Linked DNA regions of Oryza sativa Japonica Group. The protein of the gene in region 2 interacts with the protein of the main gene of each other region in a biochemical or structural test. Links are inferred from orthologs where the notes say so. Each region holds a gene or a part of one and is shown on either strand. Other genes may lie near its edges. The genes, in order: mitogen-activated protein kinase 1, transcription factor MYC2-like, protein TIFY 10b and protein TIFY 9.

Region 1 (8,067 bases), on a different chromosome or scaffold from region 2:
CGCTAACTAGAAATGGCCAGTGGCAGATTAAAAGAAAGGTAGACATGGTGTTAAAAAAAACCATAGTTTATGAGGGCTTTCAAAGGCTTCTTTCACTCTTTTCTTTCTTTAGGAGAAAGGCCTATTTTTTACTTGCTATTGGCAAGATAGATAAGATGGCAAAAACAACATTCAAATGCCCTTTAAATCACTAAAACATACTATGCCAATACTGACCTGTTATTCTCTGTCTAGGATCAAATGTCAGCATCTTTTCAACCAGATCAATTGCTAAAGGATGAACATGTGGAAATTTTTCAGGAAAGGACTGCCTTGCATGTCTAGGAAGTTGGCGAATGTATCTTCTTGCATTTTCATTTACAAAATCCAGATCAGCCTCATTTGGCGTTCCGATGAGCTGCAATTAAGAAATTTATGATAGGAAAATCAAACACACAATAATGTGAAACAGATAGTATATAAATCCTCTAGTGAGAAATGCGTTTGTATTAATAGCCATGACTCAGAATTCAGTATCCTGCATATCAGCCAGAAAGCCAGGACCTTCTGGAGCAACATAAATTCTCTCCTCTTTGCATTTTCCTTAGTTTTAACATATTCCCATAGGATAATCAACATATTATATATTTCCAAAACAGTACTCCAGTTATGCTAAATATATGACCACACAACATAACCTGATCAATTCAATATAAAATAAAGTTCAAAAGATAAGAGTGTGTTCTAACCTCCATTAGTAGACGTAATTGATGGACATGATCTCTTCCAGGAAACAAAGGTTTACGATCCATGAGTTCCATAAAAATACAGCCCACAGACCACACATCAATTGCTGCAGTATATTCAGAGGAATTCAACAGAAGTTCCGGTGCCCTATACCATCTTGTGACAACATACTCAGTCATAAAATCGGTTTCTGAGGTGGTACGAGCAAGTCCAAAATCACAAATTTTGAGGTCACAATTTGCATTCAAAAGTAGGTTGCTGGGCTTCAAGTCTCGGTGAAGGACATTTGCTGAATGTATATACTTCAAGCCACGGAGAATCTGATAAAGGAAATACTGCACAAAAAGGTAAAGAATTACGCAAGAACAGTTATACCAAACATGTATTATTTCTCAGAACATGGTAGATGCATGCACAAGGAAAATACAAGAGAACACAATCAAGTTATCTGGATAAGGAAAGATAGGTGAGGCAGCCATTCTAGAGTTCCACTCAAGAAAGGGAGAGATCTATCTGTAGCATTGATCATAAGAGCTTGCAAGCTGCAATACAGCAAGACCTCTCCAGTGTGATTGGGCATTGAACCCTTCTCACGTTGAATGTGTTATGTGGGGAATCCTTTGAATGTCTCAAGAACACGAGTTCGGTGAGCGTGCATGGCACGCCACAGTGTCGTTCTCGCCGTTATCTGTTGCTTGCATTAGATAAGAGTTATCCCTTAAGATTTGAGGTTTGTTTCAGTTAGTTCTGATTCATTAGCAGATTGTAATCGCCTATATAAGGCCACTCTTTTCTCTGTTTCTCCTCACCATGGCTTTGTGGGAGGCGAGGGCATCGGCATCACCCTCCCGTCAAGCACTGCTACAACCTTCGGAGCTGCGGTGCCTTGCCGCCAGCTCCTAACAGTATGTGGTCTACTGATAAATAGCAATCAACTCATTATTCGATTTTATATCGGTTAGCAAATAATATGGTATCTCCAAAGAAAACGTTAGTTTGATCCAATGATCAATGGTGCACTGAGATAACCTAATTGTAGCACTTTGCATATATGCTTTGCAGGGCAAAGGTACGTTCAGGTATATTAGTAGGTCGCTAAATTCGTTTCTTAATTTCAAAGATTATGCATACCTGCAGAATTCTTAAAATGTGATACAAAATTACCATAAAAGCTTTACATTCAACCTTTTGTACCAAATTCCTTATAGTTCTTACACAAAACATTTATAAACCATCAATACATACTTCAATACTTCCCACTTTTTAGGTCTTGAAAACTCAATTTGAGCAGAGGCCTAGACAAGCAAGAGAATCCAAGCAGACCAGAAAAGCCATTTGTATGAAATAAATGCTAAAGTGGAAATAAAGTTGTGTTTTTCTTTTGAAGAAGGTACCTGGCAGTGCTCCTCTGACAATGCTTGATTTGAGCGAATAATTTGATGCAGATCAGTATCCATCAATTCATATGCAATATAAACGTCATTGAATGAATTCCTTTGTGGAGGAGGTATGATATCCCTTATGGCAACAATCTGCATCACATAAGTAGGAAGTTGAGACAAGTTATTGCCTTTTGGAGCATCGATGTGCAAACACAAGAGCTTGCTGGATATGTGAAATACAACAGACCAGCTCCAAATATCTTATAGGAGTAGATAAAATAAGTAAATCAACTATGTCCAGACCAACCAAAGCAAGAACAAACATATTGCATGGACCAGGAAATACCATATGAAAATGACTTGACAAAGAGATCTATCTTATTCATGATGGCTTAATGTTATAGCTCAAGTGTTTTTGCCATTTAAACGCTCAAACATGGTGGTTTTTTAAGGAGGCAGACCAACATGCATTTCCCTTAAAATGAAAATTAGAGTGTGTAATGGGGATGAACAGCAAGCTAATGATGACTTGAATAGTGACTAGTAAAGGGCTTTAGACGAAGATGGACATATAATAGATCAATAGAAGGAAGCAATGGAGGAGACTTTGCATAATTCTAATAACTTATGTAGAGGATTCTAATAATTTATCTCATAGATAAGCTGAACAAACGTGTGTGTAGCACAGTGGTAGAGTCTCTGGTAGAGGGGACACCGACCAAGGCTCAAGCCCAGGTTTTGCACAAAAAAAATCCCCCCTCGTTAATGCTGGTAGAAGAGTGCTCCCCGCGTGAGGTTAAGCATGCCCAGTGACGTGCCACGTTCAGGGGCATTTTTCTCGACTTAGCTGAATGCCGCAAGCCATCCTAACCACGGGCTTTTTTTGTTTGTTTGTTTTTTTATCTCATAGATAAGCTTACATGTACATAGAAAGCAACAGCTTAGTGCACTTCATAATTAAATGATAACTTGGTATTGAAGTAATATACTGCAGCCAGAAATCGCTACTCGGGCTGCTGCCTTCTGTCTGCAGCCAACCTGCAGCACGTGCACATGACAAAAAAAAAGTTCCAATACATCTTTCAGAATACAGGATCGCCAATTTGGAAGTAATGTTTTATGTAATAATGCAAAATAGCCATTTTTTGTGCAAGCTATATTTTAAAAGTAGAATTGGACTTGATGTACAAATCTTAGCTCATGTTTCCAACTTTCCGTACATACAATTGAATTTATAGCCAGATTTGAAAAGTAGAATTTGACTTGATACACAATCTTAGCTGATGGCAATAAAGCAGGTGCATTATCTAAGGACTTCTACTCCAAAATTTGCCTAATCCGATCGTTTTCTACAAACACCCGTAACTGGTATAACTCCCAAAAGCCTCCCCTGCATAATTGGAGCACTAAAACCTGAAATTAAACACTTCTCTTTCTGCAGTAGGATACAAACAAAATGGATCAGTTTTAGTTTGAAAAAACTTCCAAAAAAAGGCATGAGCATGCATTTGTGTATGCCTGTGTCAACCAGTCTATGGTTCAGCAAAAGCAGTATCTGAGCAACTTTTTGTATGAACCTTTTTTAGGGAAGTATCAATTGATCTATTATGTTATAATAAAGAGGGTGCAAAAGGGTGCCACCACGTTCAATCTAGAAGCCTAGAATAACGACATTAATCGGGGAAAAAAGATAAATATATGCCCGTTTATTATAGTGGTGGGTCTAGATTACAACGGTCCAGGTTGACCAGTAAATTCTATACAAAATATAACTCTAATTTTAAATCTAGCTCCTCTCATATTTGCATGGGAAAATCCACTAGTTTAATTATAACGGAATATTTATGACCATCCAAATTTAATTCACCTCTTCAGAAGAAGCTGAGTTTTTCTAGGGCTGGCTATGAAGATATGGCCTATTCTCTAATTCACTTCCCCTGTGGCTGTCTTTCTACCACTAACCATAGAAAAAATATGTTGCCTCTGGTAAGCTGAAAATGATACTTCAGGCCTACGCAGGAAATACAACAGTGGGCTACTCCTATTAGTCAGTCTTTAAATTGGTAAATTTCAAAGGTCCAAGTCCAACATGCACACACAAAGTCAATCTCAAAACTTTCCAACAATAACACAATTCCTAGTACTCCTATCCCCTAATTCCCTCCCCACTGGCAGTCACTCCCACTGCATTCAGACTGGATTTGACTGACTTAGGAAAAAGGTGTAACACCAGATTGGTCCTCCTCCTCCTCCTCCTCCTCCTCCTCCTCCTCAAGCTAGTTGTGGCTTGTGACATCAGCACGTACGAGAATCATGTGATGTTGCTACTCTCCAGGTCAGGTCTGTTCACATCACTCGCTCCCCCACTATTCAAGAACACAATGAATAACAACATCCCCAAAAGGCAGATGGCTTCTTTAAAGGCATCTCCAAAGTTACCTCTATTTCTGAAGCTCGCAGCACTCATCATCAGCAGCAAGAATGGAGGGAAAAGCTCTACCAAATTAGGCCGAGCAGTGACGAACTCAATCATTTGGTAACCTAACCCTCACCTCCTCCTCCTTTCCCCATTTAATGCAACCAACTTAACTAACCAGAGACAAGAGCATTCAACGAGAATCTCAAAATCTGCGCCTAAAAATCGAGGGTGGGTGGGGGGGAAGGGAATTCCGTGGTCGAAACAATGGAGCGGATCGGGAGCACTGACATTCTCGTGGTCCATGTGGCGGAGCAGCTTGATCTCCCTGAGCGTGCGCTTGGCGTCGATCTTGTTGTCGAACGCGTTGGCGATCTTCTTGATCGCCACCTGCTCCCCCGTCTCCGAGTTGAGCGCCGAGCTGTCATCCAAACCCAAAATCCAAAATCCAAACCAAAATCAGGCCGCCGCCGCCAACGGAATGGGAGAGAGGGGGGAGCAAACGAACCAGACGATGCCGTAGGCGCCCTTGCCGATGGGGAGGATGGGGGGCTTGTACTTGGCGGTGACCTCGAACACGTTCCCGAAGATGTTGTACTGGATGAACCTCCCGCCATGGCTCAGCGTCGCCTGGATGTTCTCCATCATCCCCGCCCCTGCCCCCGCCCCCGCCGCCGCAGCCGCAGCAGGCGGCTGCTGCCCGCCGCCGGCCTCCGCCATCTCCGTGTCCGGCGGCTGCGCCCCGGCGTCCATGGCCGGATTCGGATTTGGATCGCGACGAGGAGGTGGAGGTGGAGGAGGAAGGGAAGGGAAAGTGGAGGCGGAATTCGTCGCGAGATTTGGTCGCTTTCGGCCTCGTTTTGTAGCTCTCGCCTCTTTTTTTTTTGTGTGTGTTTTTTTTGTGTGTGGGTGTGTGTGTGCTCGCGTGTGTTTTCTCTTGGGCTGTGGAGGTGGGGGTGGTGGCCCACCGGGGTATAAAATGGTTGGCACGCGGGGCTACGGGTACTAGGCGTGGCCCATTTTTGGGGTGGGTGGGTGTGGGGGGACGTGTAGCAAAATGGAGATGCTGTGCCGACCCTAACGACTGATGACGTGTCATGGTGACGACAGCGTGAGGGAACACTACCTCTGTACCTAGTACCTTTACACCCATAAGAGCAAGTTTAATAGTATAGCCCACTACTAACTCCAATTTATCTATAGCCAACATAATAGTCAATTCATACAATAGTTGCTTACTATATTATTAATATATGGTCTCACCTGTCATACACACACTGCGTCTTGGAGTCCGTGTTGCAGCTGGCTACAGATCTAAGTCCGCTATTCTTCTCTCTCATCTTTTATCTCATTAAAATATGTTTATAGCTGGCTAATAGCCTGCTATTGTACCTGCTCTAAGAGCAAGATTAGTATAACCAACTACTAGCTCCAAATTATCTATAGTTACTTTAATAGCCAATATATACAATAGTTACCTATAAACATATACTACACTATTAATATATGATCTCACTTGTCATATACACATTGCGTCTTAGAGTTCGTGCTGCAGCTGGCTACAAATTTAAAAGGAAAAAAAGAAGAATGAGAAGAAAATGGAAAATAAAAAGAAAAATAAAAGAAGAAAAAAAAGAAAAGGACACATCATGTCCATGTGGCATGCTACATCAACGCCACGTAGGATCCTAGAGGTGATGTGTCAATTTAGAATCTAGATGATACACTTTGATAAGTTACGTGACTCAGATATGTATTTTGAGAGTTTAGAGGCCTATATAACACAACCCTATAAGATGAAGGACCGCCAATGCACTTTACTCAAGTTGAATGGTAGAGCTAACTACTTATAAACTCATATTACAAGTATAAGATTGGCTATAACATTTGTCTTCACCTTTTCTTGCTTATGTATTTAGTGCATGTACCTTGAAGCATATGACTAGAGCTTTGTACTTTTCTTGTCTTCCTTCTCCATATAAACTTATAGTTTACTATTATCCTTGCTTAAGGTGGTTGCTTCAGCAACACCAAACACGAGGGCGGCGAATGCTATCTAGCGCCAGATAATGGTGTCATTTTCTTCCATATTTTTTTTTGCTCGCCATATCTTCCCGCTCATGTCATTCTACCAACACTTTTTTTTTTCGTCGAAGACTTCATACTCCTACAAATGATTGAGACAGAAAGGTGTTTTTTCTTGATCCAGTGGAGATAAAGAAATAAGCATCAGTACTAATAACATTGTTTACTGCTTACTTTAAATGCCAATGGCACGTGTTGATGTAGAATTACGCATAGATAACCTGCCAGCGGCTAGCATCCTCCAAGGAAATTGTACCATGAGTTAGGCAAAGTTTGATGAACCAGAGCTTAGAATTTTACTACCCTCCGGTGAATGTGACAGTGAATGCTATGGACAGGAACTCTTTGCGATGAATGCTTCAATATAAGGACAAGAACAAAACATTATCTAGTCTTGCAATCCTGATTAATTAGGATTTTTTTTATGGATACTAGGGACTTGCTGGAAATTTGGAATATATGAGGCAAGTGGTGTGGAAATGATAGGGCAATAGATAAAATAATGATGTTCTAGCATCTTTATGGAAACAAAGTTAACAGGACAATAATTAATTCCGCAAACACACTGATATTAATTATAATACAAATCAGGTCTAACAAATAAAAATGAGAGTTTATGCTAAAAGAGTTTATAAGTACCATGAATTATTTGAAGCTCAAGGAAACCTCCAATGCAGGAAGCTATTGTCATATCTCTGGTAGTAGAGCCTCAGGAGAAGAAGAAATTATAACCCTGCTGCAGAGTTTGGATGAGAAGACTTTGTATAATTCTAGTGTATGTCTTCACAGCTACGAATACCACCAAAAGGAAATGGATTAAGATGGCCGGTAATCCTTCTTTAGAATCTATCCAGATTCATGCTGACCATGGACAATTTTCAGTACAAAACAATAGCACTGAAAAAGACTTGTTGTATTACTGAAAGATCCTTCGTGCGTAAGAATTGATCTGCAATCAGGGCTGCCCCTCCTTAAAATAAACTGTACACCCCACTGCCAGTTGTATCCACCACAGGTTTTGATGATTACATTGCACGGCATTACAATCAACTCATCCAGATAACCAAAAAATGTAGCCGCAAAGTTTTGAATGGAAGTTGCCAACCTGACAAATCATCACCTGCACATTGGATCCCATTCATTGTTGATAATCCACAACCTGTAGTACCCTGTAAAATAATAGATCGGAGAAACAGCGACCCTGTGAGAAATATTGGAACCTGACAAGCCAAGCAGATCATTTATATGTTGTACTTCCTCCGTTTCACAATGTAAGCCATTCTAGCATTTTCCACATTTATATTGATGTTAATGAATCTAGATAAATATATATGTCTAGATTCATTAACACCAATATGAATGTGGGAAATGCTAGAATGACTTACATTGTGAAACGGAGGGAGTACTAAAAGTAGTTAGAAACCATGAAACAAAGTACGGAAAAAAGCATTTGTTTTT
Region 2 (8,142 bases):
CAAATTGTGCCGGTTGTCGGTTGACATTTAGGGGTACCAGTCAATGTCATGCTGAAATGCTAATCCAAAAAGTCTAAACGAATTTATAGGATTTTAATACACTAACCGTCATTCTTTACAAAGATATCAGTCTGGCATCAACAGTGGGTGCCAAATTGATGGCGGCTTTCTTTTCTGGAGATGGAAGCAGACAAGATTAGCTGATTGTCACATGCTCATACCAATAATTGAGCGAAGCTTGTACTGAAATCGTGGCAAAAAAGACGAATTTGCACCAGCCGGGAATCGAACCCGGGTCTGTACCGTGGCAGGGTACTATTCTACCACTAGACCACTGGTGCTTGTTATTTGAGAGAATTAGTATTAATTACTTGTTTAATTTTACTGTTAACGAAAACGTGCGTAATCATCAACCCGAAACAAGCATAAACAACAGGAGTTTTCTAGTCTTTGCTGTTTGCTTACGAGAATTCAACAGGCAAAGAATTTTAATAAAAAAATAAAAATAAGAAAAGGAGCTACTGGAGCAAGACATGTTGAAACGCATGTGGAGATTAGAGCGAATAGTGATGAGTGAGCGAGCTGGGGCCAGATACTTACTTTTGTCGACACCGATGGCCCGTTTGTTCACGAGTCACATGCGCGATAACAAAAGCCGCACGCCACCCACGCATTTTTCTGCCCCATCCCACGGACCAAATTAAAAAATCAATTATCATTATTTTGCTGTACTAGTACAGTATCTCTCTTGTTGCGTTTGATTTGCTTTGTTTTGTTGGATGGATGGATGGATGGATGGATGAGGTGGGTTGGTTGGTTGGTCCTGGCCTGCCATGTCCTTCATGTCAACGTTCATTTTATCTCTCATCACTAAGGTGCTTTCCATAAAACATATATACCTAAATAATAAATTAAATTAATAATAAACCACCTCAATAGTATATCTACATAGGTATCTATAGCTATCTAATGCATTGCCTCGTTTTTCTATAGACTATCTTCAAGTTAGTAGATAGATTTGCTCTCTCTCTTCATTTAATCTCTTCCATATAGGAAAATATGCTGACATGGGTATCTTGTAGAGAGCATATAGATAACCATTGCGGGTGCCCTAAACCTAGCTTTGATGATCTATCATTCACACGCACATCCAGCTTTGTTTTGGTCTGTTTCGTTTTTGTGCTGCCAAGCCAAGAAGAGCAGCTCCTACTTTGCTTTTTGCTTGCTTCTCAGTTCTCCCTCGGTCGCTAATCGTACTGTGCTACTGCCTGTTTGTGATGGCGAGATCTACCCACCCAACTCACATGTGCTGCAAGACCATGTCCCCATCATGTGTGTGCAGGTCGTCTTCTCCGTGCTGCTCTCCGTTGAAGAAGAGATGGATCATTACGGGCTATGGCAGGACATGAACAGGATGAATAACTATCCATCCAACCAACCAACCACCATTCCTCCTCATCTCCTTGCTTGCAGTTGCTAAACATTAAAGTGCTGATGAGATAATAGAGTTGATTGATCAAGCAAAAAAAGAGCATATCCATTGCATTTTTTATTTTTTTTACGAGATCAAAAACACCACAACATGTTGTATTCCTTCCTTCCTCCCTTGTTCATTGGCATGATGATGGTACAATACCAAATCCTATATACAAAGTCTATCATATTTAGGTTTAGTAATTAACAAGGACCAACATATCGCCGATGATTTCTTTCCTCCCTTCCTTCCTTCCTGCTAACAAAGAAAGGAAGAAAAGAAATACCAACCGCTGCTATCAGTATCAAAAACAAGACGACGATCAGCAGCAGCAGCTTCAGCTTGAGTTGCGAGTTGATATCAATCATCCTCTCCATCCATCCATCCATCCTAACACAGATCTTTAAACTTAATTTTACAACAACAACATGATTTGATCATCGTCTCGTCGTCTTCTTGGCATTCCTGAAGCTCTGGCCATGGCTACGCCGGCTTGGGGAGAGTAGAGAGTATATCGATTGGGTTTCCTCGCTAGAGTTGAGTTACCGGGCGGCGGTGCCAGGCTCGGCGATGCGGGTGTAGAGCGCGGCGTTGAGCTGGTCCTGCGAGTAGACGCGGCTGGCCATCTTGACGGCCACCTGCTGGATCATGAGGTCCTTGACCACGGAGACGCTGGCATGGTACACGTCCAGGTCCAGCTCCCGCAGCGCCGTCATCAGCCGCGCCGCCGGGTGGTTCCGCTTGTGGCACTGCACGCGGATCATGGCCTCCAGCCCAAGGATCTTGGCCTCGATCTCCACCGCGTGGCACCGCGCCCCGCCGTCTCCGCCGCCGCCCGACGGCGCCGGCGGCCGCGCGTCCCGCTCCTTCTTGAGCGACTCCATCTGCGACTGCAGCGTCTCCTTGTCCGTCTCCAGCGCCGTGAGCTTCCCCCGGAGCTCGTTGATGTAGGAGATGGCGTCGCCCAGCAGCGACGCCTTGTCCATCTTGGACACGTTGGGCACCACGGCGCGCAGCGCGTAGAAGCGCTGGTTGAGCTTCTCCCGCCGCTGCCGCTCCGCCTCCACGTGGTTCAGCGGCTCCTCCCGCCCGTTCGCCGGCTTCCGCCCGCGCTTCCGCGGCCGCTTCTCCGCCTCCGGCGGCGGCGCCACCACGCGGCTGCTCTCCACCTCCCGCACCGACGCCTCCAGGTCCGAGTGGTCCGACTCCGACTTGGCCGGGGCGCCCGTCCCCGTCGACGGCCGCGTCGTCGGCGCCGACGAGAAGGACAGCATCCCCTCGTTCGCCGTCGCCGCCGGGTGGTTGTTGGTGTTGCTGGCGCGGGAGGTGGCCTCCATGGACCTCTTCTGGTTGTTGCTCTTGGCGTCGTTCGCCGCCGCCGTCAGCGTCGGCGTGTGCTGCGAGAACAGGCTCCCCGGCGCGGTGGTGAGGCTGGCGGTGGCGGCCGGGGGCGCCGGCGACGGATTCCTCCGGCCACTGCTGCTGTCGTTGCCGAAGTTTAGGATCTCGCCGGTCTCGGGCTTGAAGAAAGGCGGGGCCGCGGCGCCGCCGTTGGACGCGAAGTCGGAGAAGTTGAGCTCCCGGCGGAAGGGGCCCTGCTGAGCCTGGCTGCTCTGCTGCTGCTGCTGCTGCCGCTGGGGCGGCGCGGCCGGCTGCGAGGGCGTCGGCGCGTGCACCGACGGGCTGGGATTCTCCGTGAGCGTGCTGGTGCTCCCGTTCTCGAAGTGCTGGATCTGGTGCGGCGGCGGGGGTGGTGGCTTGGAGACGGAGATGTCTGCGGCGGAGATGGAGTCCTTCATGTCCATGGGGGGCGCGTCGGCGAGCCAGAGCACGGAGGGATCGGCGGAGGCGGCGTCGGGGTGGGGGGGCCAGGAGGAGGCGGCGGCGGCGCTGAGGTTGAAGAGGGCGCGGATCCTGGGGATGCTGTCCCCGGTCTGGAAGATGACGTCGGTGGAGCCGAGCTCGAGGACGCCGGTGGCGAGGGGGAGGCAGACCATGGTGCGGAGGCCGAAGGTGTAGGCCTGCCTGGCGCGGTCACAGGGGGCGGAGGACAAGCCGGTGGCGATCCAGGTGGGCTGGGCGGCGAAGAGGGCCTGGCCGGGGAGGCCGAGGCCGTTGGGGAAGGACTGGGTCATGGAGACGAGGAAGAACCACTCGGTGTCGGTGACCTCCTCCTCGACGGCCTCGTCGGGGGCGGCGCCTGCGCCGGCGATGAGGGAGTTGAGCTCGCGGAGGACGCGCTTGCGGTGCTCCTGCTCGGCGGCGGCGGCGGGGGTGGAGGAGCGCTGCTTGCGCTTGTCGTCGTCGCAGCCCTTGTAGTAGCCGTCGCCCCAGCCGAGGAGGGAGGCGCCGGTGGAGACGTCGATGGAGGACTGCCAGAAGATGGCGTACGTCCACGTCTCCCGAGACCCCTCGATGATCGACTGCAGCCGCTGCTGCAGCGTGTCCTGGTTGAACGCCGCCGCCGCCGGAGCTGCTGCAGGCGGCGGCAGGACCTGCTGCTGCTGCTGTTGGTGGTGGTGGTGAGGCGGCGGCGGCGGCGGCGGCGGGGTGGAGGCCGCCCCCCACGGGAAGGCCGGGAGGTCGGCGGAGGCCATGAACGCCTCCATCATCGACGCGTTGTCGTCCGTCCAAAGGTTCATCGATTTGATCTCGATTTCTTCTTCTTCTAGATTTGATTTGATTTGGAAGAGGACTCCTACAAGAGAAGAAGAGAATAGGAGGAGAGGAAAGGTGGGGATGGGTATGGGGTGGAATGGATTTTTGGTGGTGAGGAGAGGAGATAACAAAACCCACATGGGTCCCATGGCTAATCACTCAAATCAAATCATATTTAGTGTCCAGGGGTATTTTCGGTATTATCACTCCTCCTATGTCTACACTCCTAATTAGCGATCATTCGCGCGTCCGCCAGCCGCACCATCACCGCTTCACTCATCTTCCTTTTTTTAGCCATACCATGTTAAATCGCCCGCAATTCCTATTTTTCGCTATCAACGTGTGGTATGCATGTTTCCACACAAATCATGCATATGCGCATCATTCCGTGATTAGCCTCCACGATTTGTATACTGCAAATAATAAAGTACAGTATATACTAATTTTCTTTTCAGCCTCCCTGAAATAACGAGTATTTATACATAATAAAGTTTATAAATAGAAAGTTTGCATGCATTTTGTATATCGTGAATTTATATATAGACCTTTATTTAAAAAAACAGAAGGTTTTTTAAATAAATTTTTTTTATAATTATCTTAAAAAAATTTATAAAAGATTTTGACATCTTTAGGATGAATTTATCTAGTATAATTTATAGTAAAAATAGTTATAAAATAATGATAATCTAAAAATATATATTAAAAAATAGAATTTGAAAGAGCGATTTTCGGATCATCGGTGCGCTCACATGGTGGCTTGGGCCTATGGGATCGCTCGCCTAGCCGCCGCAACCACCCTCCTATCTCCTGTTTGTGTAACCTCCCTCCGGGTAATCAGCCTCCGCTCTCGCTCGATCCCACATGTCAGCGTCCTCCCCTCCATACCATGCTCTCTCTCCCTGCTTTCCTCTCGTGGGAAGTGTTTTACGATCCCTTATCTTTGTAGATTTTACATTACATGTTAGGAGGCAGTGGTGGAGCATATGTTTCGCTCGATCCGAATTTTGACAATGTTTTATACTACTACTAAATCTTTTTAGGACTTTGTGGATCACATCGTATTCCTTTGAAGAAAAATATAAAATCACGTGTGCTTCTCCCAGAAGGTTCATGCGGTCCTATGGTTAAGTTTAAGACGAATTCTATCATTATCAAGAGTTACTCAAGCCTTAAGGCTATTTTCCCCTTCCTTAACTTGCGGGCAGTTTTGTACTATTGTCATAAAAAAAAGATCAATTGACTGACAGCAATGTTATTTTCATAAGAGCAAGTTTCATAAGTATAACTCACTGCTACCTGTTACTCCATCCGTTTTAAATTGATCATCATATAATTTTATTGATGTTATTTCTAAATGATATCATATTTGCATTCATTCATTAAGTATATTCGTTTTTGTGCATTAGAGTAAATGGATATTGATTTATGCATCTAAGAATAATGGGGATGATGCATACACCAAGTTTGTTACTGGAGTAAATATAGGACGAGAGAAGCTTCCTTTGGTCTTGGTACATCTACGTAAGATGATGATCAATTTGAAATGGAAAAAATAGTCCATATTAAAAGTTAAAACCAACACATATAATAGATTAGTTATAAGGTTATAGCTTTAATTTTTCTCTTTGTCTTTATCTCAATGATACATTTAATGTATTTGTGTTAGGGCACGTGTTAGAACTATCTCTTGTATGAGAGCTAACCTTTTTTTTTCTATATACCTTCTTCACGTAAAATTATAGTAGACTTATAACTCGCTATTATCCTTGTTCCTTGCTCTAAGATGGAAAGGAATTACGGCGCATAAATGCTCTTAAAGAGATCGATGTAAGAGTGGTAAAAGTTCATTTTCATTGTAGTACACTAGTACTATTATCTAATAGGGGTTGTTAATTTGTTTCACCATCACAAGTCATTAGTTACACCATTCCACATTCTGACGTGGGCAAATTTAGGCGCATATTTAACTCATACCATACATATGTATTGTATATCTTCCAACAAAGTACATTAGACAAGTTGGGGGGAAAAATTTGTGTGCAAAAGGAAGAATAAAAAATAAGTAAATTGTTCCTAGTAAGCACCTTTTTTATCGTGCCCGTGCATGATGAAGATATTTGTACATGTGCGTCCACGAGGGCCGTAACACACAAGTTGTGCTACTATACCCTCCCTCCCGTTTGACCCTGTTGGCCATTTCAAACATGTTTGACCGTTTATTTTATTTAAAACTTTTGTAAATATTATTCAAAAACTTGAATAGTAGTAGTATATTTAACAATAAATCAAATGATAGAAAAATAATTAATAATTTCTTAAATTTTTAAATAAGACAAACGGTCCAATATGTTTTAAAAAGTCAACGGCGTCAAATATTTACGAACGGAGTGAGTATATAAATAGTACGGTGTATTAATATAAACATGTTTGCATGTGTAAGTAGAGTGGTATTAGTGCTAATTAAGCTAGCTTAGCACATGTGGTTGCAGAGAGTTTTTTAAGAGAAGTGTGCCTCTACATCCAACTGGATATATACAGTAATTTTAAATTAAAAACTTAGCCTATGAAGTACGGAATTTAGCTCCCAAATAATCCAATCTAAAATTCACTTAAAATTAGGATTTTAAGGTGTTACTCAGGTCACTGTAACTACTGGGCTAATAAATGTGGCTGCAGAGAGTAGATATAACAACGATTTGGGTTGCTTATATAAATACTCTAGCCTCGTCGTCGCTAGCAGCAAGTGACCCAGCCGCCCGATTTGACCGTTGACCCGATCGATGAGTTGGGCCACGTGCAGGAAAGGCAGGTGAGGCCCACGAGGCAGTGACAGGAATGATAAACTACTGTGCTAGTTGGGGATCGATCTTATCATTTAAAACCTGCCAGAAAATCTGGGCCGTCCATGTTCACGTGTTTAGCGAGGGCAGAAGCGTGCTTTTGCCCCTTGTGCTTTTTTAAATTAATCCCCGTGATTTGAATCAAATAAAATCGCGACATGGGAGGTGGTGGGTGTAGCGTGGCCGGCGTGCCGGACAGGTCCCTATCCACGCCCTTCCCTACTGGAATGATCGATCAACACCGCTATTCAAAATGAATAATAATTCGAGTGTTGTTTAATTTATATTTGATTTATGCCGAGCACATGCAAGCTGTTTTTATTTTTTTCATTTCGGTCGGAAAAAAAAAATGCTTCGCTCACTCCAAATAACGAACCTGCGAAACCACTTATGAGTTATGTACGTGCTCGTGCTCAGGTATTTAGCTTCGCCCGTACATCCAGACTATACTCCAACCACACTAGCCTTGAATGGTATAGTAAGATACTCCCACCGTTTCTAAATATTCGATGCTGTTGATTTCTTTTAAACATATTTGACCATTCATCTTATTAAAAAAATTAAGTAATTATTAATTCTTTTCCTATCATTTGATTTATTGTTAAATATACTTTCATGTATACATATAGTTTTACATATTTCACAAATTTTTTTAAATAAGACGACGGTCAAACACGTGTTAAAAAGTCAACGGTGTCAAACATTTAGAAATAGAGGGAGTATTATGCTATTGAATTATCACTTAACAGGGTTATTAGGAGTTGGGTCTCCTTTTTGGGTGGGGCACCAAATCCATGTCATTGGAGAATAAACTAATGAGAGTGCTCGATAACGATAATCCTTGTGATGTTGTCGAGGTACCCAAATCTAAGGGCACGAAGAAGCTGTGGTTGAGCGAGTTGTGTAAAGCAGTCGTGGTCGATGTAGCCAAAGTCAGGGATAAAAATGATGAGAAAGCCAAACCGCAATGTCGGTGGCTAATTCAAGGGCAACTGGACCACCGTGCTAAAGTAGCAACAATGTCCGTTAGAAGAAGATGTGGCAGCGATACTTGAAGTAGGTGAAGAAGACCTCAAGTGGGTGATGTAGACCGATGCAGACAACGAGGATGTCGTGTGAACGGCGATCAAGATGAAGAGAGTGGTGACACTAAAGTCCGAGTAGAACAAA
Region 3 (8,029 bases), on a different chromosome or scaffold from region 2:
CGTATCTTCTATTTATTTCTATATAGTTTTAACCACTAAATTTCGAAAAAACACATACAAACATAGCAATCATTAGTATATTCTAAAACCTAACCTACAAACATGTCACATCAACCCACTAAACACTTACGAGTCAACATACAGACATAACTCAACATATAAGCACGCTAAATCATAATTTCTCAAATCATTTACATAATACTTTAACACAGATCCATCCATCATTTATATAACATTTAATATATATCCATCCATATATATTTTGCAATAAAGTATGGGCCGTCATATAGTACATTATATTCTTACTACACCTAATTCGTTCTAAAAATGGATGATATACATGAAGAATATGTGTAGTCAAACCTTAAAATATTGAATTATTAATAATGTTAAACTATTAGGATTTTAAACTTAAAATTTGTGTTAGTGTATTTGTTATGAAAAAGTTTCATATAGTTATATTTTAAATAATTTTATTAAATATATAATCTCTCATTTTCAATGCGTGTTCAAATTTTGTATCGAAATATAGCTATTTATCAAGTACCAAGGGTGCTTTAGTGATGAAATATCCAAAGTATTCCTCGTCTCCACAACCACACACTGCCACATTCCATTAATCGGGCCAATTAATAAAGAAAAATATAGTATTTTCAACAATGTCCAAGAAATTAAAAGATGGGAGGCAGTACAATAACAGCAAGCCCGTGGATAAGCAGTATAGTACGTGAATGATTCAGTCATTCAGAGTAACTGTACACTGTACAACCACTGCTGATACACAACAGCAGAGTGCAGTGTTATGGGTGTGTTTAGTTTCACGCCAAAATTAAAAGTTTGGTTGAAATTGGAACAATGTGACGGAAAAGTTGGAAGTTTATGTGTGTAGGAAAATTTTGATGTGATGGAAAAGTTAGAAGTTTGAAGAAAAACTTTAGATCTAAACTCGGCCTATTTAGTCCAGTCTACGGAAGCGTGCACTGCTTAAATAAACAGCGTGCATTCAGAAATTGCTTTGCAGACACAAACAGGAGAGTCAGAATAGTAGAAGCATACTGTATCAATTCATCATCATACTATGCATATTATTATATTACTAAAGTTCTAAAGAATCAGCATGTGATGAAATGGACCTGGGCTAAAGTTACTGAAATAAAAAGGAGCAGCAAGCAATGGACAGATTCCTCCCCCTGCCTCCGGATAGCTACCATGCTCCCCCTGTTTTTTCAGATTGAAAATAATTAAAATGGCTTCAGAATGAATCAATGTCTTTCAGTCTTTTCAAGTTTTTCCCCCAAAACCAATTACACACATGGTGTTCCAAAGTAGCACCAGGGTTTACGTTATCGTTTTCGAAGTAAAAACCGATACCTGTTGGTTTACCGGAAACCGATAAAATCACCACTTTCAGTCAACTTCGTAAAAAACCAGCTAAAACCGCTCGGATTTTACGACAGATAACCAATGGTTTCACGAAAAATGAGCGGTTCTCGGTCGGTTTTCCACGATTGTCAAGATCCCTCTCTTTCTTTTTCTTCATTCTTGCGTGCGGGTATGAACTCTAAATCCATCACTACAGTTGCGTGAGAAGAAATTAAAGAACACAACCAAGAACTTAGACAAGGTTGAGGCAGTCTCTTTCTTGCAAGGATTCTTTCTGTTGCAAGTCACACAGCCAATTCGTTTTTCCCACTGTTTGGTAGCTACTGAATCATCGGTAGGTCGTTGGTTCATCCATCAGATGATGAACAGCTAGCTCGATTCAAATGGTCCATGCTGCCATTTGCAGTCCACTTCATGCCCCCCATGTGGCCGTGTGGTCTGAAGAACGCTCTGAATTTTGACCTGGATGGATAATGGATTACTGGACCCAATAAACCCATCATTAGTGCCTCGGATTAAACAAGCAATTGCATCCTGGAAACAAGGGCAGCATGTCTCCTGGACCACAGAGGACGGCACACGGATTTTGTTAGTTGTAACCATGAACAGCTTGAGCACATGGTGTGCCTTTTTGTTGTTATCTTTCTCTTTTGATAATTCTTCAAACACACAAAGGACGATTGGTAGTACGTGCATGCATCAACCGGGCAAATCAATGAGTAAATTACAAGGCAGAAGCCTGCAAGAAAAAAAAAAGGTATTGTAAAGCTGCCAAGATGTGTTAATTTTATCGGTTCGTGGAACAGAAGTAGTCTGACCAGATTGGCTGGATTCCTGAATTTGAAATTGATTCAGTGAAGAGTAAAGAGAGAGAGTTACACAAGCTCTCTGACAAAATTGTGTCACAAAGGAATGATCGAGAATGGCATGCAAAATCTTCTGTAAGAGAAAAAACTAATCAAAAGATTTGACAATTGGTAGACAGCAAGTTGCAGGAATGTGAGCACTAGTTCATCAAGTCCTTTTGTTAGGAGTATAATACAAACAAGTTGAGAAAGGAGAAAAAAGCAGGCAACTTGGCTCACTGTGGGCTCCCATGCGTCCAACAAACATCTCTCTCTGAAAAATGTCTTTTGTATGTATGTACTCCGTATCATGTATGCATACTGGACATGGATCCTCCGCAGTACAATTGGTTCAGTAGCAATCACTGACAGGTGGATCCGATCCCACATGTCAGTTGCTATTATCATATCGACAGTACTGCAGAGACTCCCGGTCACTGCATCCTTCTTCCCCCCCCCCCCCCCCCCCCCTTTGCAATTTCCAAACAGCTTCCTGTTGTTTTGCTCTTCATGCTTTGCTTTGCTTTAGCTGTCAAACAAGAATCCTATCAACTCATCTCCACCCCCAATTTCTCACATGTGCTCATATCTTTTGATTAAAGAATTGGGCATGGGGTGACAAGTCTTGCCTTGTGCACCTTCCTTCGCAAAACCCTTATCTTCAGCTTGACAGTGCCATCCAACCTACCCCAGGCTGCCTCCTGTGCTGCCCTGTATCCCCTTTGCATGATGATAAAATATATAGCTACAAAACAGAAAAGATTCATAGGCAATCACTAATAATTGTGTTTGTGGAACATCAAATATTCCATTAGTTTGTAGTTTGTGTATGTAGTTATTATTTTATGCTAAATAATGAGGTTTGCATTTAAGAAAAAATGAAAACGCGTCAAGAAAAGGAAAAAAGAAAGTCCAAGAGCAAATTGACTCTGCAGGCACATATAATGGGGACCAAATAATGCAGACATATTGGAGGAGGACCAAGCCAATAAGCCATGTAACAGAAATCAACAATAGGAATATGAATTATATTCTGAATCCATTACAATCACTTTGCTTTGCATAGAGCAAGGCTAGAGCCAAGGACAAAGCCAGATGATCAGAATTTCAGAAGATACATATATGTTTCCTTTGCAATAACTTTTTACCTTAGCATGGCCATTTTCAGAGTCACCATGTGTTAACATGCCAAAACTTCTCTCAGGCTCTCGGCACTGGTCGTCAATGCTACTACCTTTTTCCTTTACATTCAGAACTATGTGACAAGTGAACAACATAGAAGCACGAACTAAAGAAAAAACACTAAAACATGGGGTATGAGAGAACATATATGATTTGGTACTCTAACGGCAAGCGCATTTCATATATTTTTGAAGAGCTTTGGTGAAGTTTCCATGCAACCTCATTGGCCGCGTTCTATGGGCTTCACGACGGCGTTCGGCCCTAGTCCGAGCCATGGCTGGCTCTCAGGCTCCTTCTTGACTGGGGTTGCATCTGAAGGAGAAGCCTGGTATGGCGTCTTTGCATTAAGACTGTGACAACAAAAGGCGCATATTAGATCCATGAACTGCAGTGATCAAAATACTGAACTTAAACATCATGCAAATCATCACAGCAAAACAACTTACCGATCCTTTCTCTTCTCAAGGAACCTGTGGAGTGATGCCTTCCTAGCAATAGGCATATCTACACAGAAAAAAAGAGGTCACTTGATAACTGCTACAACAAAATTCAACTGGTTATGCGTTCAATACCCCGACAGACATGAACATCAAGAAAGGGCAGAGTAATTACCAGAAGCATTCGCGCGAGCAGGCTTCTGAGCATCGGCCTGAGCTGTAGGCAAGCTACTGACCGGGGCCGGCACGGCCATAGGGGCCTTGGTGTTGTCTGTAACAGCTGCTGGTGCAGGTGCCGCGGCATTCTGAGGAGCCACCGGGCTGCCCTTGCTAGCCAGCTGCATCAAGCCCTTTGCCTTGTCGGCTGGGAAGTCGTTGAACACGAGCACCTTCCCACCATAGAAGATGGTCAGCTGACGCTTCTCAGGCTCTTGTTCCCTGAAATTCATTTGCACAGAGAACACTATGAACACCTGGGATACCAGTATATCACCCCTCCAATTCTGCACCATCTGACTAACTCTATTTTCACCGGCAAGCATAAAAAGGGTTCTTTTTGAAACTACGTTTTCAGTGCCCCAGTTTAAACAAAAAAAAAACCCTAAGTTTGGGGTTAAAATTTTCTATTAACAAAGATAGGTAAAGTTTTTATAGATCCATTAACAACTCCCTGAAGTCTGAATGACCTAGTAACTCTGCTTGCCTAATTCCAATTAGTATCTGAACCCAAAGCAAAAAACAACAAAATGTTTACTCATAACCCTCTCTCCCCTCAACTAGATTTGATACCAAAAACAGTGGCTTCAACCTATTGAGGCACTTACAGCTAAGTTTTGTAGACTGCAAAATTTGTCATTTCTCTGCGTGATTCCAAGAACTAGGACACACACACACATACACCTAAGGAGCAGGAACTGCACAAAAATGAAGCAGAGAACCAAGTGGCATGGCCCCATACCTAGCATCAGCAGCAGAATCGGCGGTGATGGCATCCTGCTGGCCAAAGCCGGCGCTCTGCGGGAAGAGCTCCATGGTCTCCTTCTTCCTCTCCGCCTCCCCGGGCAGCAAGCTCATCGTCGCCGGCGCCGCCCTCGGAGCCTCACCCTCACCTGGAACCGAACCAAAACCCCAAACCTTGTGATCAGATCTCAACACGAAACCGAAGCTGAAGATGAAGATCCAACCAAGCCGAAGCACACCCACAAAAAAAGGGATGAGTTCTTTTTTTTTTCCCTTCTCCTCCTCACCTCTGATGCCGAGGCCGAGCTCGGCGGCGGCGGCGCCGTTCTGGCGGACGTAGCGGCTGAGCAGGCTGCACGCCATGGCGAAGCTCGTCGCCCTCTCCCCGCCGACGCCGACGGGCCTCGCGGAAGCCGCCATCTCTCCAAGCTCCCTTCCTAACTACCCGGCGTCGATCCAATCTCTCCTCCCCGCCGCTCGCCGCGCCGTTCTTGCTGCACCACCCCGGCTCGTCGTCGCCTCGCCGCCGTCCAGCTACCTCCGATTCCTCCTCTCGCCTTCCTGCCGCTGCTGCTAGTGGTTGAGCTGCGAGAGCGAGAGCTAGAGAGAGAGAGGCTCGTGCGCGAGCGTTTATAAGCAAGGAGAGGAGACGGAGACGACGCAGCCGCTGCGGTTTCTGGTCACCACTCAATTCGATTCAATTTAACCTCGCGGATTTTCTTTCTTCCCATTTTTTTCTTCTCCTAATTACCTACTTCCTCCCTCCAAAAAAAACAAACCCTATATATTTTCGTGTCCAACTTTAACTGTCCGTCTTGTATGAAATTTTTTTATAATTCTTTTAAATAAAAAAATATTATTAATATTTTATGTGTGACTTGTCTTTTTAATTTTTTTCATAATTTTTTTAAATAAGACGGACGGTCAAACGTTGGGCATGGAAGCCAGGGTGTCTTTTTTTTTTGGGACGGAGGGAGTACTCCGTACTGGAATAAGTTAATCTAACACAATGTGACATATTGTAGTAATACAAATATGTCTAAATTTATAGTATTATTACGATATGTTTATCCCATAATTTAATTTGGAATGGAGAAAATAGTTGCTCTCTTCGTTCCAAAATACTACTTATAAATTACCTTTTACCTTATCTCAATTATTACCACTGGATTCATCTCTATCCAACTTTGTTATTATATCATAATAAGAGTACTACGTTTTAGAACGAAGGGAGTTACATCTGTTCTAGAAATATACTCCCCCTGTCTCATAATATAGCAACCAATGATGAACACCATCAATCATTGGTTGTTATATTCTGAGACAGATGGAGTAAATAATTATAAAATAGATAGATGATGAACACCATCAATCATTGGTTGTTATATTCTGAGACAGATGGAGTAAATAATTATAAAATAGATAGATGGTACCCTAGCGTCTTAAAAAAAATTCAATTCTAGCTACGAATTTAGACACGTATGTAAGCTACGAATATATGCGTGTCTAGATTCGTAGCTAAAGTTTATCTTTTTTTAGACATAGTAGTAGGTATTAAGAAAGTAAGTAAAATTTATTGGAGAAATATTATGATTTGTTGAGATAAAAAATAAGATGAATGAAATAAATGGACGAGGGTTGTGAACTTTGTGATGGGTTAGAAGGATATTGATGGATAAATAGGTTTACTATAGAAGAATATTTTGTTATTACAAGTAACTGTATTTTGGAACGGAGTAACAGATTTCTTCTTTTAAATATTATTTTATTCAATTCGGTATCATTTCGCGGGCTGGGGGGGACGATGCGAGTACTAAATGCGCGGATTCCGCACGTGGTTCGTGTGCGGAGCGAGGGGGTGGTGGGCCCCACCGCGACTGCTCCCCTCCCCCTCCTCTTTTAAATATTCTCCGGATTTATTTTATAGCGATTTTTCGCCCTTTTCCTTAATTGCGGGTGGGGCCCGCGCCCCCCATGTGCGCGATCGATCGGGTCGGTACATGCAGCACGAGGCGGTGAGCGCGAGACGTGTCGGATCCGGGTCGGGTCGGGTTTTGGTTTTGGGTTTGACCCGACCCGGTTACACCTGGCTGGGGGGGAATCCATGATCCGTCTTGAATTTCTTGATAGTGGTTTAGTAGTAGCAGCAGCTTTGGGTTGGCTTTAATTTAATTTTTCAGGTCGGGTTTTGCTGCCAAGTGCCAACAAATGTAAGTGTTGGATTGGTTGTCATGGGTAGGATGAATGTACTTTGAGACTGGTACTTGTAGAGTACAAAAGGTTAGGTAGGATGGAACTTACCTGATCGTGTTCATCGTAAAAGTGACTAGAAAGTTTTGTGTATCTAAACATTGCCGTATACTTTCTGTCAGACTTTCGGATCCAAATAGTTGCCTTTGAATTTAGGTGAGGATACAAAGTAATTTTCTATGTGCCGGACATTTTAATTTACAGTAGGCGCCTCTGAATCTAGGTTAGGATGAAGTAATTTTTTTTGCGTGCCTATTCTTTTTACTTTAGAGTGGAAAAGTCTAAATAACTTTGTTTCATATTATAAATCATTTTGACTTTCTTTTTCTTAGTTAAATTTCTTTAGGTTTGAGTTTTTTGAGATGTTGCTAAATTCTTTTACAAACTCAATCAAATCTAAAGAAGTTTGATTAGAAAAAGAATTCAAAACGACTTATAATGTGAAACAGACAGAAGGTTAAGACCATAAACCCACATAATTACCATTCTTAAACTTGATTAAAAAGAAGGTTGGATCCCAAGTTCGCAGAAATACAATTTTTTGGGACAAATGTTAAATGATATAAATGTAATTATTCTGAGATAGAGGTAGTAGAACTTTTTGATTATGCATGTGTGATTATTGACAAATGTATGTAACAGTTGTTAATAGTAAAGAATCAAACACCAAATCACGTGTAGGTGCCTTTGTTGCCAGATGGCTAAATAGTGTAGCTTCAAATTTAAGAATTACCACTAGGTGCATGTTCACCAAATTTATGTGGTGTGAGTGTAGCGCATGTGTGTGCACACATCCCATATTGTACTTTAAAGGAAAGTAACACCAACACATAATACAGAGAGATTAGTCAATAAATTGTGTCCTTAACCTTAAGTACAACACTTTGGTGAAATAATAAGTTATGAAGTGCATGAACGTGATTGAGGCCTAAATTAACAGCCTTTTTGGAGGGATGTAGGGGGGGGGGGTGC
Region 4 (7,984 bases), on a different chromosome or scaffold from region 2:
GTTAAATATGTAATTATTGCTAGTGGATGATGATGTGGCATGATTGCGTGTTGAGCTTTAAACTTAATGGGCTATAACTTTATAGAAAGTATAGATATGCAACCAACACATTTGTCATATTTACTAAATCAATAATAATATCCCATGCAACGCCCTCGCTAACCATCAACTTGTGTGATCACTTAGTAGGAGACCACTCTAATTAAGATACTATCTCTTTTCAAATTATAATTATGTCAATTTGACTTTGGTCAAAGTCAAATAACTTTAAGTTTAATTAAATTTATAAAAAATATAGTAATATTTGCAACATTAAATTTGGAACCGGTAACTCAACACATTTTCATAATATATTTGTCTTCGGTTGAAAATGTTACTATTTTTTTCTATAAATTTAGTTAAACTTAAAGTAGTCTAACTTTAATCAAAGTTAAAATACTTTATAATTTAACACAGGAGATACATAGTAGGAGTATATTCAATGGATTAATTAATATTTCTTCTTAACTGAGCGAGATCAGCATGGGCCACCTCCAACCTCCCCTGAAAACACATGATATACGGTTTTGGTACAATGAGAAGTGGTTGGTACCCGAATCACCTTTTGCTTGTCCAGTTTTGCCTACTCGATCCCCTCTCATATGCAATTTTTAGCACGCGAAGACAAAGTGTGTGTTTGGACTAGCAGCAGACGAGAGAAAATTAAAGCGTACGTGCCAGTTGTGTTGGTCGACCATGCGTATCATCGATCGGGTCGTTTTCTCGTGGCTCTGCTGTCTGAGATCTCTCATGCATACACATCCGATCGATATATCCATGCTCTCACGTTCCGACCTTATCTCACCTCACGATTAGTGGGGCGAAGCCATAATTTATACTAGCTGAAACCCTAACCCCGCGCATTGTAGCGGGATATTTTCTTGAGATTGGTGGCTGCATTTGGTAAATTGAAGTGGTACAAAAATCCATCACTATTGAATTGGTCCACGATAAAATTAGATGGGCCTCCCGTGGTGACGGTGTGAGATGGATTCGGCTGTGTTTTTTTCATCCAACGGTTCAAAGATGATCGAATCTACTGATCCAACAACTGAGAATTAATGATGATGTGACACATTGAGGTTTGAGCTTTAGGATCTTAATTGCACTTAGTGGGTTATAATTTTATAGTAAGAAGGGATAAGAGTAGAGGTAAACTAGTATATGTTTTTGTTTTTCTCTAAAAAAAATTTGAAGAGTAATCTCGATGGATATTTGAGCGTAGGAGTAGGGCTAGAGATAGTGGTATTTGAACCTACTGAAGATGATGAAGATAAAGATAAGTGTTTCACGTAAAATGATGTGGTAATAACGTGTGATTAATTGAGTTTTAATTATTACAAACTTAAAAAATAGATTAATCTAATATTTTAAAGCAACTTCCATATGAAAAGTTTTCGCACGAAACACACAGTTTAGCAGTTTGAAAAGCGTGTCACAAGTATCCAAAATTTCATCAACTTCTATATCTGCATATGTGTGATGTCACCCTCGGTTGTCCACCCATGCATATGATGCTTGATTGTCGATTGCATGCACGCAAGGGAGCTACCATATCTGATCGCAGCATGTCCAGCGACAAGTTAGAGTTTATTTACTCAATCTAATCTTAATTTCTTAATCTAAATATAATCACCTTAATTTCTTATGCGGAAATAAATTGATTCATTGACCTTGATGTGAAGCCATTTAAGCCGATGATCTAATCCTTTTATTTTTCTTCTTCTTCTCTTTTCTTTTTCTTCTTGCGACATACATCACGAATCCTTTCCAGTGATAAAATTGATCGGGCGATTGAATTAGGGCTTTAGGGTAGAGAGGATTCGGTGAAGTCGCCTTTGCCTCTTCTCCTCTTCCTAGACATAAGGACATTAGTGGGGTCCGGGGGTTTATTTCCAAATAAATTTAAATCTATTTTGTACGATCACACATAACAGATTTTATCTCTACTTTATTTCTTGTTAGGAAAATAAAACCGATGGAATTTAATTCTTTTCCTAACTAACCAATAATGAATTGATAAAATCAACCAACATGGCCATCAGGACGAATCAATTGACCAAATCCTAATAGCCTTCCCTGAGTCGCTTCAGTTCTAGTGATTGATCCTCAACACTATTGGGCAACCTTATTTCCTGGTTACGACGAGTTTTTCAATAGTTTGGAGGTGTGGCCGTAGAAATTAAATCAACAAGCATCGACACCATTATTGTTTTGATAGCATGGTCGATTTGTAATTAAAGAACACAATAATATATAGGAGTCTTCAATCACTAATAATGCTTTTGTCCAAAGTGGTGACTGGTGAGCACGACAGTTTAAGCTGTTTGGGTGGGAGGGCCTTTCACAGAAATATAAGTCCCTCCATTAGTTTCTCTAAAAAGAACATAAGTTTCTCTAGAAGGACATGTATTCCTATCCCTCCATAGGGATTTATATTTCCGTAAGAGGACTAATAGAGCATAAGAGCTAGGCTGCACGGGGGTCCTCAGCTACCCGCGGCTAGCTAGCACACATAATGGTTGATAGTCGGTCGCAAATCAATACCACAAGACATAGGCCTTGTATCCCTTTTCGATTCTTTTCTTTATTATTGTAACTTGTTGTACAACTTATACATATATTCTCTAAAATATTTGTTGTTAAATGGCTAAATAACCGAATGATTTATGATAATTAAACTGAGTGGGCAAACAAACGAATAAATATATTATATTTTTTATCTATCTATACCTAATTAAAAAATCTATAAAGCTTCCGGTAATACTTTTTTGTCCGTCTTTTTTTCTCTTTTCTTGGCTGTTTTTTCTATCTTTTTTTTTCTTTTCTTGCTGTTTTTATTTTCTGATCCTTTTTTGTCCGTATTTTTCTCCTCTTTATTTTTTTCTAGTTTTTCCCGCAGCAGTTTTTCTGCCGCCGCCTCGATCTATCTTCTTGTACCTTTTGTCCTCTTATTGATTGTAAAAATAGATCCCTACTCATTTCTTATTATTTTAATTTCCTTATGATTTTCCCTTACAATTTGGCTTTAATTCACCGGATCTAATCTCCAGCCGCCGCCTGGGCTGAACCCTAACTGCGCCATCACATCGATCTACCTCCCCTTACGTTTTCTCCTTTAATTAATTGCAAAAATTGATTCCCCATCCTTCCCTCATAGTTTCCCCCATGATTTTCCCTTTCAATTCGGTTTTAATTAATTCGTTGGATTCAATCTTCGTTTAACTGTCACCAATAATGACCGACCGACGAGCTTCCCCATTCCATTTTTATCCAGAGTTTTACAGATTTGCTCTGTTTTTGGGAAACAGAAAGAGGAGATCGAGTGAATCAAAATCCCTTGGCCAGGGAGATCAAAAAAGAATCAGCTGGATTTTTATGGGAGGGCACACAAGGATTCTCTCCCGAAGGTTCAAGACGGTATACTGAATGACATTGCCAGCTGTGATAACTAAGTATTTGTGGACTGGACGAAAGAGAGGCAAGCCGAGCAGGAAGAGATAGGAGACATCAGACTGTGCTAGGGCTAAAAAGGAAAAAAAAGTAATGAGCTTTCGGCTCAAAACGAAGAAAAAATTTTGATTAACATGTTTTCAATTATAGTGTATAGCAATTATAATGTTTCAAGCTATTGCTCAGTTCATAATAGAGTTGTTATACCACTAAGAAAAATGTATTTACCTGTTGCAACGTATTGATATTTTTTTCAAGTTAATCATAAAAATACATTAGCGTTTGTAAGCTTTCTAAAAACGTGCGGGTTAATCCATCGTTTTCATTGGTTAGAAAAAACGAATGGGCGCGGGGCCTCTTTTTTTTATACCCCGCGCGCACCTCCCAACCCAACAAACACCACATTTTGCAGCTGCTTCTAATCTATACGTGTTCTAGCTAAGCTAGCTAGCTAGCTCTCGTTCTCCGGCCATGTCGACGAGGGCGCCCGTCGAGCTCGACTTCCTCGGCCTCCGCGCCGCCGCCGCCGACGCCGACGACCGCCACGCCAAGAGCGGCGGCTCCTCCGCCTCCTCTTCCTCCTCCATCCGAGGTACGTGACGTGACGTCTGTCGACGTCGCCGTCGATCGATGATCTCATCTCACCGCCGCCGGCTAGCTCCGTGTCCCTCTCGATCGATCTGAGTCGATTGCTTGCGTTGCGAGAGCAGGGATGGAGACGAGCGCGATAGCGAGGATAGGGCCCCACCTGCTGCGCCGCGTCATCGCCGCCGCCGGACCTCCGCCACCGCCGTCGACGGCGCCGGTGCCGGAGGAGATGCCCGGCGCCGCCGCCGCCGCCGCTCCGATGACGCTCTTCTACAACGGTTCAGTCGCCGTCTTCGACGTCTCCCACGATAAGGTGTGTAATATACATGAGTAAATTATATTGGTAGTATATAAACTTGTTAGCTGGATGCAACTTAGTGAATAAACTTGTAAAATGCTTATTTCGATGCATGAACTTGTCTAGTTCGTGCGAACGAGGACTAAAATAGCTTGGCAATGTTCGTTTTATAAAGCTGATGTTGATTAGGATGTGACGTGCATATGTGTAGTGAGTATATATAAGATATGCAATATTTATAAATTTCGTCTCTACTTTATTCTTCATCATGGAAGTGATGAATTTCATATATTTCTAACCCTTATATCATTGCTTTTTTTAATCTTTTTTCTACAATCACTATATCCATTCTATTTTTTACTAAAGAGGTGTATTTCTAATAGCAAATCTTCACGTATATATGTTTACATGGTATCCTAATGAGCCCCTAAATTAATAAGATTAACCAGGTAGTGTCCTTTTTCCTTCCTCCGCACGCACCAGACAAGTTTATGCACCAAAACGAGCATTTTACAAGTTCGTGCACTAGATTGCACTCACCTGACAAGTTCATGTACCGGCGATGCAATTTACTTAATATATATTTATCGTCTAAGTTAATTAATCACAAATTATTAGGAGATTATCCGCGATTAGTTAGTTGTTAACACAGTAATATTATATTAATACTGTCGTCGGAGATAGAACGGCCAGCGAACCGGGGCACCTGTTGAACACTTGTACCTTCACCTTCACAGAACGCGTGTGATTACAAAACTAACGAAACTCGGCGCGTTACTGCTGCGAGAATTATGTATAAAAATATTATAAATAATACCCCTTTTGTTTTTTATTATATGTGATATGCTGTTGACTTTTCATTGATCATTCATCTTATTAAAAAAATTTATGTAATTATCATTTATTTTATTCTGATTTGATATATCATCAAATATTCTTTAAACATGATTTAAATATTTTTTATATTTACATAAAAATTTTGAATAAAACGAATGGTCAAATATTTGTAAAAATTCAATGGCGTCATATATTAAAAAATATTAAAAAATGGAAGTAGTATGTAAGATAGCTGGATGATTATTTACTTTATATAATTTTCATCTTTGATTGATCAATAAAAAATTATAAACAATTAAGATGATATGGTTTATAACAATTTAAAACATTCAAAAAAAATGAAACTAAGGTGATGTGACTTAATAGCAAAACAAAATAAAGGGGGATAATATAGATTAATTACCCAAAGACAAAACTACGATGATATGACCTTTCCTAGGAGAAGAAAAGTCTGTCCATTAAAAATCATACAGCGTTAACATAGAATTAATTTACAATCAAAATCATGGTGTAGGATCGAACTGCACCAAGTCTAAATTAAAAGAGTTCTTGTTTTTCATGCATGATGGCTGGAAGGGATGCGCACAATGATATACTATCTCCCTTAAATTAGCTTGATAGTGGTAGATAGTACAATTTCATAGAGATACAATCTTCTCAATGCTTTCCCTTTCCATATTCCATCCCTAGGCAGAGGCTATAATGAGGATGGCAACCGAGGCAACTAAAGCAAAAGGACTCGCTCGTGGCAATGCAATTGTAGGCAATTTTGCCAAAGGTTTGTTAATGTTAGTAGAATTGTTGCGAAAAGTAATCAGCAGAACAACAAAAATATGTTCTTTTTTAATCTGTTTTTTTTCCTGTGGCTTATAGTATTGTTCTTCAACTCTTCTTGTTTGCAGAGCCACTCACAAGAACTAAATCTCTGCAACGATTCCTCTCCAAGAGAAAAGAGAGGTATAGACAATGCAATTTTCATATATTTTGTTTGTCACCTAAATACACATTTTTTCCTACTCCCTGCGTTTCAAATTAATTATTATTCTAGTTTTATCATAAGTTAAGCATTTGTATTTTTTACCACCAATTTCCAGAAGTTTATATAATTTAACATCATAAGATTTATGTTTTGTATTCACTATGAGAAAACTTTCACAATATATAATCACATGTTTTTGCATTATTCAAATTTTTAGATATCAACGAACAAAATAGAAATATTTGACTTAGGACAAAATGAATGTGAAGTAATTAATTTGAAAAGAAAAGGAGTATGTATAAGTACATAGAAATAATGATTTGATCAAACCTTTTCAAAAAGAACTCAATTACACTTAAATAAAAGAGTATTAACATTTTCATTATTTCTCTCTCTAATTGGAATCTTCAGTGTGAGACTAGCTATCTACCTATAGTTGTATACTGTGGAAGCTCATGGTAGCTAAAGCTACCACATGGTGAGCTGACCGGAGACCCCAGAAGCCGTGTGGGCCCGGATGAGCAGTGCCCATCGACCTCTTACAACCACGTTTTAGTCGTGACGAATTAGTGCATGGAAAGTCTATGGGCTATGGATCATATCGACATGTGTGTGGAGGATAGCAAGTTTGCATATGCAATATCTCGATCGATTTGGTGATGATATATATATCGCAATGAAATCGATATATGGGGGCTGTACTACTTCATTGACCAACTAGCTACCGAATCAAATTAAGACTTATCGCAGCTAAAGAAGCAATAAACTAACTGAAAGCAAAGATATGTCTTTGACCACACCACACGCACATATCATTAAGGCTTTGATTTGATTGTGCTTTAAAAGATCGGTTTGGTTCTGGTTGTGTGTTGGCTAAGGTGGTGTTTGGATACAGGACTTAACTTTAGTCTCTATATCTAGACACTAATTTAAAGTATTAAATATAGACTACTTATAAAACTAATTACATAAATGAAAGCTAATTTGCGAGACAAGTTTTTTAAGCCTAATTAATCCATAATTAGAAAATATTTACGGTAGCATCACATAGACTAATCATGGATTAATTAGGCTCAATAGATTCGTCTCGTGAATTAGTCCAAGATTATAGATGGGTTTTATTAATAGTCTACATTTAATATTTATAATTAGTGTCCAAATATCCGATGTAATAGGAACTTAAAAGTTTTAGTCCCATCTAAACATGGTCTAATTCGTTTGTCCCAGACTTGAAAAATGTGGCACTGATTTCTCTTCCTTTCAAATATATATATATATATATATATATATATATATATATATATATATATATATATATATATATATATATATATATATATATATATATATATATATATATATATATATATATATATATATATATATATATATATATATATATATATATATATATATATATATATATATATATATAACCATTAACTTTTAAACATAACATTTAACCATTCTTTTTATTAAAAAAATTAGTGTAAATACGATGAAAAATAGGTAGCCTTTAAATTATCTTCAACAACAAAATTAAGCCGCAACAAAATAATATGATACCTATACAGCATTTTAAATAATACAAATGATCGATCCAAAAGGGATCGAATAAGTGATACTTAGATAGTTTTTCAAATAAGACACATGATCAATTCGAAAGTTAACATCATCATATATTTAAAAATTTAAAAATTGAAGTTAGCCAAACAAACAGGTGTAGTAGGGTAGTGTAGTAAATTGTTGGCTAATTACCATCCTGCTCAACGACGTTGCCAGTGTCACTT

Evidence for each region.
Region 1: of the proteins of transcription factor MYC2-like (region 2) and mitogen-activated protein kinase 1, one has a biochemical effect on the other in vitro, tested with the Arabidopsis thaliana proteins (2 studies listed by BioGRID, with this or other methods). The link is inferred for Oryza sativa Japonica Group from reciprocal best matches to the Arabidopsis thaliana genes MYC2 and MPK6.
Region 3: the proteins of transcription factor MYC2-like (region 2) and protein TIFY 10b form a complex in vitro, tested with the Arabidopsis thaliana proteins (3 studies listed by BioGRID). The link is inferred for Oryza sativa Japonica Group from reciprocal best matches to the Arabidopsis thaliana genes MYC2 and JAZ1.
Region 4: the proteins of transcription factor MYC2-like (region 2) and protein TIFY 9 form a complex in vitro, tested with the Arabidopsis thaliana proteins (2 studies listed by BioGRID). The link is inferred for Oryza sativa Japonica Group from reciprocal best matches to the Arabidopsis thaliana genes MYC2 and JAZ10.

What each region holds. Positions count from the first base shown.
Region 1 is NC_089040.1:2,967,825-2,975,891, forward strand, and holds the start of mitogen-activated protein kinase 1, read right to left. Parts: upstream 5,430-8,067; 5' UTR 5,278-5,429; coding exon 5,033-5,277; intron 4,946-5,032; coding exon 4,816-4,945; intron 2,259-4,815; coding exon 2,121-2,258; intron 1,062-2,120; coding exon 729-1,061; intron 398-728; coding exon 217-397; intron 1-216. UniProt on the Arabidopsis thaliana protein: Mitogen-activated protein kinase (MAPK) which regulates abscisic acid (ABA) responses in a MAPKKK20-MKK5-MPK6 cascade involved in root growth (e.g. root cell division and elongation) and stomatal response.
Region 2 is NC_089044.1:23,545,445-23,553,586, reverse strand, and holds transcription factor MYC2-like, read right to left. Parts: upstream 4,232-8,142; 5' UTR 4,117-4,231; coding exon 2,017-4,116; 3' UTR 1,513-2,016; downstream 1-1,512.
Region 3 is NC_089041.1:25,570,540-25,578,568, reverse strand, and holds protein TIFY 10b, read right to left. Parts: upstream 5,486-8,029; 5' UTR 5,228-5,485; coding exon 5,095-5,227; intron 4,957-5,094; coding exon 4,806-4,956; intron 4,286-4,805; coding exon 4,023-4,285; intron 3,915-4,022; coding exon 3,857-3,914; intron 3,761-3,856; coding exon 3,631-3,760; 3' UTR 3,225-3,630; downstream 1-3,224.
Region 4 is NC_089038.1:19,856,317-19,864,300, forward strand, and holds the start of protein TIFY 9, read left to right. Parts: upstream 1-3,917; 5' UTR 3,918-3,963; coding exon 3,964-4,084; intron 4,085-4,202; coding exon 4,203-4,393; intron 4,394-5,905; coding exon 5,906-5,993; intron 5,994-6,117; coding exon 6,118-6,172; intron 6,173-7,984. UniProt on the Arabidopsis thaliana protein: Repressor of jasmonate (JA) responses. Interacts with and suppresses RHD6 and RSL1 transcription factor activities to negatively regulate jasmonate-stimulated root hair development.